2 linked regions of the Cricetulus griseus genome follow. The protein of the gene in region 1 purifies or fractionates together with the protein of each later gene. This does not show direct contact. Links are inferred from orthologs where the notes say so. Each region holds a gene or a part of one and is shown on either strand. Other genes may lie near its edges. The genes, in order: Pstpip1 and Was.

What was found.
Region 2: the proteins of Pstpip1 (region 1) and Was purify together in Homo sapiens (affinity purification with western blotting; 3 studies listed by BioGRID and IntAct, with this or other methods). This does not show direct contact. The link is inferred for Cricetulus griseus from reciprocal best matches to the Homo sapiens genes PSTPIP1 and WAS.

The regions. Positions count from the first base shown.
Region 1 is NC_048597.1:167,628,205-167,632,014, reverse strand, and holds part of Pstpip1 (proline-serine-threonine phosphatase-interacting protein 1), read right to left. Parts: intron 1,741-3,810; coding exon 1,706-1,740; intron 1,534-1,705; coding exon 1,427-1,533; intron 1-1,426. UniProt on the Homo sapiens protein: Involved in regulation of the actin cytoskeleton. May regulate WAS actin-bundling activity. Bridges the interaction between ABL1 and PTPN18 leading to ABL1 dephosphorylation.
Region 2 is NC_048604.1:114,564,110-114,568,019, reverse strand, and holds the start of Was (wiskott-Aldrich syndrome protein), read left to right. Parts: upstream 1-1,467; 5' UTR 1,468-1,516; coding exon 1,517-1,648; intron 1,649-1,968; coding exon 1,969-2,109; intron 2,110-2,853; coding exon 2,854-2,940; intron 2,941-3,047; coding exon 3,048-3,150; intron 3,151-3,259; coding exon 3,260-3,301; intron 3,302-3,392; coding exon 3,393-3,446; intron 3,447-3,910. UniProt on the Homo sapiens protein: Effector protein for Rho-type GTPases that regulates actin filament reorganization via its interaction with the Arp2/3 complex. Important for efficient actin polymerization. Possible regulator of lymphocyte and platelet function.

The sequences.
Region 1 (3,810 bases):
TGTTCAGGGTACTGCCCAGTGGCTCAGTCAACTCCCTGTGGTCTGCCTATCAAGATCTAGCCAGTACCACATCTGAGTGCCGACTTGCTTCCCACCATGATGATGGACGGAACATCTGAAACTAAGTGAGTCACCCCAATTAAATGTTTCCTTTATATGAGTTGCTGTGGTCATGGTGTGTCTCCACAGCAATAGAAACCCTAAGACACAGGGTTTACAATGAACTAAGTTTCTGCCTTAGAGCCCTGTTTGTGAAGGGTCAAGTTCCCAAGGCAAGGGATGCCAGTAAGAGTAAAGTTCCCAAGGCAAGGGATGTCAGTAAGAGTATCTCATACAAGAGAGAAACTGAGGCACAGGAAGGGGAAGGACCTTTCCTGGATCTCCAGACGCTGCTTGGCCCCAGCTCTGAGATTTAGCCACTTACCCTCCAGGTGGGCCAGGTGCTCAGCCAATCAGAGCAACAGACTTTGGAGAGTTGTTCCCTACCCCAGCCTTGAAGCCTCCCTGCAAAGCAACCCCAAGCCTGTCTGCTCTTACTGCCTGCCTGCAACAAAGCCTGAACTCACACACTGCCCGCGATGAGGCACTCACTTCCTTCCAGTGTAGCCACTCCTTGTGGGCACAAGTGCCTTCAAATGCTTAGCTGAGCCTGAAGCCTGTGCTGCACCCCTAAACAGTGTCTTTCCCCTCCCTGCTGAGCCACCCTGTAGAGTACTGGCCCCAAGTCCACCTGTCTTCAGAACCAACAGCAGTAATCCTCATGTTCAGGACCAGCTTCCAGGGGCCACTCAACACGAGTTGGCGCCTGTGGACAGCTGGCACTGTTGCTGACCCTCCGCAGTCTAGGAAGTAGGATAGTCAAGCCCTACATCTTTTCTTCCTCCTGGCATGGCAGCCTCCATGGGGCATTCTGTCCCAGAGCTAACCCTTTATGGAAACCTCATTGTCATGGTTGGTTTCCATTGTCAACTTTATATCCCTAGGAAGACAGAGACCCTCAGCTGAGGAATCGATTCCATTGGATTGACGCATGAGTGTGTCTGTAGACCATTTTCTTGACTGTTAATAGGAGGGCCAGCCCACTGTGGGCAGTACTATCCCTAGGCAGGTGGCCCTGGGTTATATAAAAAATGTATCTGAACATGAGCCTGGAAGCAAAACCAGTGAGCATTTCTTGTAATCCCTGCTTCAGTCCCCACCCTAGTTGCCCTCAGTGACAGATTGTGACATGGGAAGTGTAAGCCAAATAAACCTTTCTTCCCAAGTCAGTGTTTTATCACAGCACAGGCTAGCAAACTGGAGCACTCACCTTCTCCCTGTCATCAAGCCATACTTCCCAACTGGCCCCCAGAACGGGAGTGACCTTAGCCACCATCCCCTCCTTGGTCCCGCAATCTTCCTCCTCTGGCCTCCCATCCCTTCTTACCTTCTTCCGCTGCTCTTTCTGCCTCTCACGGAACTCCTCCAGGCTCCGCAGCTCCTCACGGAGGGCCAGGGCCAGCTGGATGTGTGCGCTGCCCACGTTCTCTGTCTCTAGGGTGACAGCGTGGCCTCTGCCTGGATCAGTCCGGCACCCTCACACTTCACCTCCCAGCCCTCACATCTTCCATCTAAATCTGGACCACAGCCGAAGCACACACCCCAGTCACCCCTGTGAGAGCTGTGCCCTATAGCCCTGCTGCTATAGGGGATGGTTGGAACTTACGCTGCTTCAGGGAGTCAAAGGAGGTCCTCAGGGAACTGCAAAACAGAAATGCAGGTCTGCAGGCAGGCATGCTGCAAAAAACCTGATGTCCTGCCTGGCCCATGGCACTTTTATTTTGGAGGGAGGGTCCTAAGCCATATATACACTACCTCTGGATGCAAGGGACCCTTTGGCTATGTTCATCGTTAATGTGATCCCCAAACTGGCATTCTAGTAAACCAAGTTTCCTTTGTAAATTACAAAGCAATCAGACCTTGCTATGGCAGGAAAGGAAGTCATCCACCCTCCATTCCCTCACTCCCTGCTTCTGTTTGCACACTTAGAGAAGAGAGGTGGGTCCCGGGAAGCTCCCTGCCCTCTCTGAGACCTCCCCACCAGGGCAGGCACCTAGCCTAGTGCTTCTGTAATCCAATGCTGATAGCAAGAGTCTGAAGCAGGGGAATGACCTTTGACAGCTCCTTCCAGCAGGTGGCCTGGAAGGCGAATAGAAAGGGTCACAACAGGGAGAGCTATTTGGACTGTTCCAGGGAGGGAAGGAAAGGAAGAGGCTCCACAGGGCACAGGAGCCCAGACAGTGCTCAAACGGGAGGGGGTGCTATGTGGAGGAACTGCAAGCACCTTGGGAGTGGGGGGGGGGCAGTGCACCACCTGGAGTCCCAGCACTCAGACAGCAGAGGGAGAAGGCCACAAGTTCAAGGCCATCCTGAACTTCACAATAAGCCTCTGTCTCAAACACCCCACTCCCTTTCTCAGACATCTCCACAGGGCTCAGTTTACTTGAACTTTATTTTCAGATGGCTTCCTGAATGCCCCGAATAACAAATGATGAACACTGGAGTAAAGAGCTGTCACTGTGTACTGGGAGGGGCAGAATCAAATGCCCTGTATTCTGTCTGGCAGCCTTGTTTGCCCCAGAGCATGGTGACACTGAGGGTTGAGCTGAGGCTCCAGCACTCCCACCCCAGACACACTGCTGTTTATGGGTGGGTATAGGAGTCCTGGGGCAGATACAGGAACTACAAGAGAGAGAGACCCACGGAGCAGGGTCTTTGAAGGGCATGAGCTGTGTTCAGATGATGGTGTGGAGATCAGGGCGTCTCCTACTGTGGGTTTCCATACACAACAGCTGTAGACCCTGGAGCCAGATGACCAGGCTCTTCCACTTATCCACTGTGTGACCCTAGGCGAGCCGCCTGGCCCTGCATCTTCACTTCCCTTCTCTAGGGAAACACAAAGTGGTAGTGAGAATGTGAGTCCAGCGAAAGGTACCATGGAGGCTTGGTACAAGGTAGGAGCTCTGCCTGTCACACTCACACATATGCAAACTCTGCCAGTCCTGGGGACATCCTCCAGGCACCAGCAGCCCACCTGGCCTGCTCCCAACCCCATACTGCCCCTTCTAAGAGTTTTCCAGTGCCCCCCTTCCCAGAAGTTGCTGCCTTGACCTCAGGTAGGAGTCTGCCTGGCTACCCCAGCTTGAGTCCTTTCCCAGAGCCCTTCCCCAGGTGAGTGGCATGGGAGCAGATTCACATCAGGCTGTGGATGGTGAGGGAGGTCTGCACGTCTGTGCTCCCAGCTTGGGTTTAGTGTACTGAATCTCTTAAGGACACAAAAAAATGCATGGTGGCACAGCTTGCCCCAAGGTATTTAGACACCATCTGTAGCCCCTAGCTAAGGAAAATAAAAATGCCATGGCTTCCTTATCACCAGGATGCCTGAGGAACCAATCAGTCGGGCTGCTGTGGAAACTGAGGCTAGAGTATGGCAAGGTCACTAAATATCCCAGTCAGCAGCCTATTAGCCCTTTGTTACGGTCTTTCACTGCCTCTCTGCAGAGTGCTCTCCCGCCCTCTGGTGGTACAGTTGTCATATGACACCCATCTCATAACCAATTCTCCTGGTGTCCTTTCATAGAGCCCCACCTGCCTGTGCTTTGGGGTAGAACAAATAATGTTCCTCAGATGCTTCCTCTTCTTGGACAGTTGAGGAAACAGAGGCCAAGGACCCCTGGGGATCCAGGCCTGAAGGAAGATGAGATCCTAGTTACTGTCAGGCCTCTTCCCCCGAATGACAAAGCCACAGAGCAGTCCCAGCAGCCTGAGAGC
Region 2 (3,910 bases), on another chromosome or scaffold:
TGAGACCTTGAACCTGCAGGCATGGAGAGCCAAGAGATTCCCAGGAAGGCCTGAGAACCTCCAATTTAGAGTTTTTACCTACATCTGAGACCTGCTCAGCATTCCAGACTGCTTCCCCACACCTGAGCCCAACCCCTAATTGCCCTGCTTCATCAAAGGGGCAATGGAATTAGAGGACATGAAGGTGCATGGACAAGGTCCTTTCTTTCCTTCCTTCCTTCCTTCCTTCCTTCCTTCCTTCCTTCCTTCCTTTCTTTCTTTTTCGAGACAGGGTTTCTCTGTGTAACAGCCCTAGATGTCCTAGAACTCAGTCTGTAGACCAGGGTGGCCTGGAACTCGGAGATCCTATTCCTCTGCCTGCAGACTGCTGGGATTAAAGCGAGTACCACCACTGCTCAGCAAGATCCTGTATCCAATTCTCATCACCAAAAGTGGCGAAAATCAAACCTTCAAAGGTTACATACTTTTGAAAAGTCCCAACATAATTTAAAAATATCAATCAAGGGCTGGAGAGATGGCTCAGCAGTTAAGACCACTGTCTGCTCTTCCAGAGGACCCAGGTTCAATTCCCAGCATCCACATGGCAACTGGAAACTATCAAGTTCCAGGGGATCTGACACCTTCACAGCAATGCACATTAAAATAAAGTTAAATACATTATAAAAATAAAACAAATATTAAAAAAGCAATCAAGATGTTGTTTTAGAATTTATTTATACTGTGAAGTCCTTCCTTCCAGAATGAAGTTGGCTGGGCATTGGTGGCACACGCCTTTAGTCCCAGCACTTGGGAGGCAAAGGCAGGTAGATCTCAGTGAGTTCGAGGCCAGCCTGGTCTCCAGAGCAAGTGCCAGGATAGGCTCCAAAGCTACACAGAGAAACCCTGTCTCGAAAAACAAAACAAAAAACAAAACAAAACAGAATGAGGTTGATCAGAAGAAAGTAAAGAGGGAGCTACAGGAGGCAAGGGTAAATGATGAGGAAGTAAGCCATGGGCTTATATGTTGTTGGCGATGTTCAAGGCTGGAGATGGGGTCACTGCGCCATTGCAAGGAAAAGCTGTAATGCAATGACCCTTCAGCACCTGGAGCCTTGGACTCAACCCCAGGCCAGACTGGTGCTTTAGGGAAGAAGGAGATGACACAGCCTTGTGACTACTCTGAGCAGCGAACCCTGTAGAAGTGCTGCAGATGGCTTAGCTCTCAGCACCAACTAGAGCGAGATCTGAGCTTGTCAGAAGGAAATGGCAAGAGAGAGACAGAGAGAGGGACAGAGAGGGGGGAAGAGAAAGAAAAGGAAGAAAGGATCCCTGAGCTCATTACAAACATGGTTCTAGCTAGGCAAATGGAGGATGGCCCCAGTCAGTTCTACCGAGGAGGACAGGCCCTCTGGGGGCCCCTGGAGGACTTGTTTCCCTTGTGGTTTATTGCACTTCCTGTTCCCTTGCTCACTGCGGAAGTTCCTCTTCTTACCCTGCACCCAGAGCTTAGCCGAAGAGGACTAGGGCAGAAGGCACCATGAGTGGTGGCCCTGTAGGAGGCAGGCCTGGGGGTCGAGGGGGACCAGCAGTTCAGCAGAACATTCCTTCCAACCTCCTCCAGGACCATGAGAACCAGCGACTCTTTGAGCTGCTTGGCCGAAAATGCTGGGTGAGTTGGGGATCTCCTGGTCCTCCCAGTCTCCCTCCCTTTCCTCGTCTTCCTCTCTACCTCTTCTTCCCCCTTTTGCCTTCTCCTCTTACCCATACATCCCTGCTCCTTCTTCTTCCCATCATCCCTCTTTTCCCTTTCCCCCATCTCCTCTCCCAGCATCCACTTACCACAGTTTGTGGATCCCAGGACTATCTTGATATCTACCTTCCTCCTGGCTATAGCTCTTTCCCCCAAGCTCATGACAGCCTCAAGCAGGCAGGGGCCAGGCCTGGTTACCCGTGCACAGACTCCAGTGACCCCCTGCTGTCCCATCCTAGACACTGGCCACTGCAGTTGTTCAGCTGTACCTGGCACTGCCCCCTGGAGCTGAGCACTGGACCATGGAACACTGCGGGGCTGTGTGCTTCGTGAAGGATAACCCTCAGAAGTCCTACTTCATTCGCCTCTATGGCCTTCAGGTGACCCAATGCCCCACTGGACAGAAAAGCTAGTCTCCAACCTGCAAAACCAGTTTTTGTCCGTAGCCTCAAGCCCTTTTTCCCATCAGAACTCCAGAGCCAAAGACCAATACAAATCCCAAATTGTGTTTTCTCATTGGAGTCCTAGATGACTGAATTCAGAAGGCCCATGCCAGGGTCCTGATCAGCTCCACAAACTCCCCTGAAACACCACATTTCTACCTGAGCCGAAGCCTCAAATCTGTTCTGAATCCAACATGGTGAATATTTGTAGGCCTAGAATCTTTTTTTGTTTGTTTGTTTTGTTTTTTGTTTGTTTTTCGAGACAGGGTTTCTCTGTGTAGCTTTGGAGCCTATCCTGGCACTTGCTCTGGAGACCAGGCTGGCTTAGAACTCACAGAGATCCGCCTGCCTCTGCCTCTCGAGTGCTGGGATTAAAGGCATGAGCCACCAACGCCCGGCCTGTAGGCCTAGAATCTTAAATTCACGGCGTTGAGCCCTCAACTCCTACAAATGGTCCTCAAATCCCAGACCTAGATCTCTCACATCAGTGTCAGCTTCTAAGACTCTCTCCCAATCCCCCATACCAGACACCTAGACCCCAAATTCTGCTATTGAGCTGACGATCTCTAAATAAGACTCTAGGACACCAAATCTGGACACCACACTCCCTGATCAGAAAACAAAAGTCTGCCACCCACAGTGCCTGCATGCCAGCATGTCCCCCACCCTGCCCCTCTCCAGGCTGGTCGGCTACTCTGGGAACAGGAGCTGTACTCACAGCTGGTCTACTTCACTCCCACTCCCTTCTTCCACACCTTTGCTGGAGATGTAAGTGAGCAGCCTAGCCTTGGGCTGCAGTTGGGGTGTGGGGAGGCCAGGAGAAAGCCTGGGGGGTAGGGAGTGCTAGAAGTTTGCTGACCCCAAGGCATATATAGGACTGCCAAGTAGGACTGAACTTTTCGGACGAGAGTGAAGCCCAGGCCTTCAGGGCTTTGGTGCAGGAGAAGATACAAAAAAGGAATCAGAGGCAAAGTGGAGGTAAGGAGAAGCCCTTGGTGGGGGTTGGGGAGATAAGTTAGACATGTGAGGTGAGGCTGGAAGAGCCCCTCTTGTGGTTCTGACTCTCAGTCTACCTATTCAACCACAGAAAGACGCCAGCTACCACCGCCACCAGCACCAACCAATGAAGGTGAGTCCTCCAGTTCATGTAGCTGTTATAAGGAACTAAGCCAGAAACCTGTGGCAACAATGTAACATCTTAACTTCTTCCATTTTCCCAGAGAGAAGAGGAGGCCTCCCACCTCTGCCCCCACATCCAGGCGGAGACCAGGGTGGTGAGTGGTGGTTTTCTTTCTTTTTTTTCTAGACAGGGTTTCTCTGTGTAGCTTTGGAGTCTATCCTGGTACTCCCTCTGGAGACCAGGCTGGCCTCCAACGAGTGGTGCTTTTCATGTCCCTGGAGAGACGGTGAGGAGTTAGATGAATGAATAGTTGCATGAATGCCTAAATTTGTAAAGAGGTGGATGGCTGGCTAGGTGGATGGGTGGATGAGTGGATAGCCGAGCATGTTGATGGATTGGCAGCAGATAGAGGAGTAAATTGGAAGATGAACTGATGATAGATTATAGATAAATAAGTGAGTGGGTATTTGGGTAAATGGGTGAATACTTACTTGTATTCAAGTAATGAATGGATGGTCCAGTGAATTAATGAATGGGTATGTAAATGGATAGTGAAAAAAAGAAATGAGAGGTAGTGAGCTGGCTCAGCACTTGTCACTGAACCTGGAGACCTGAGTC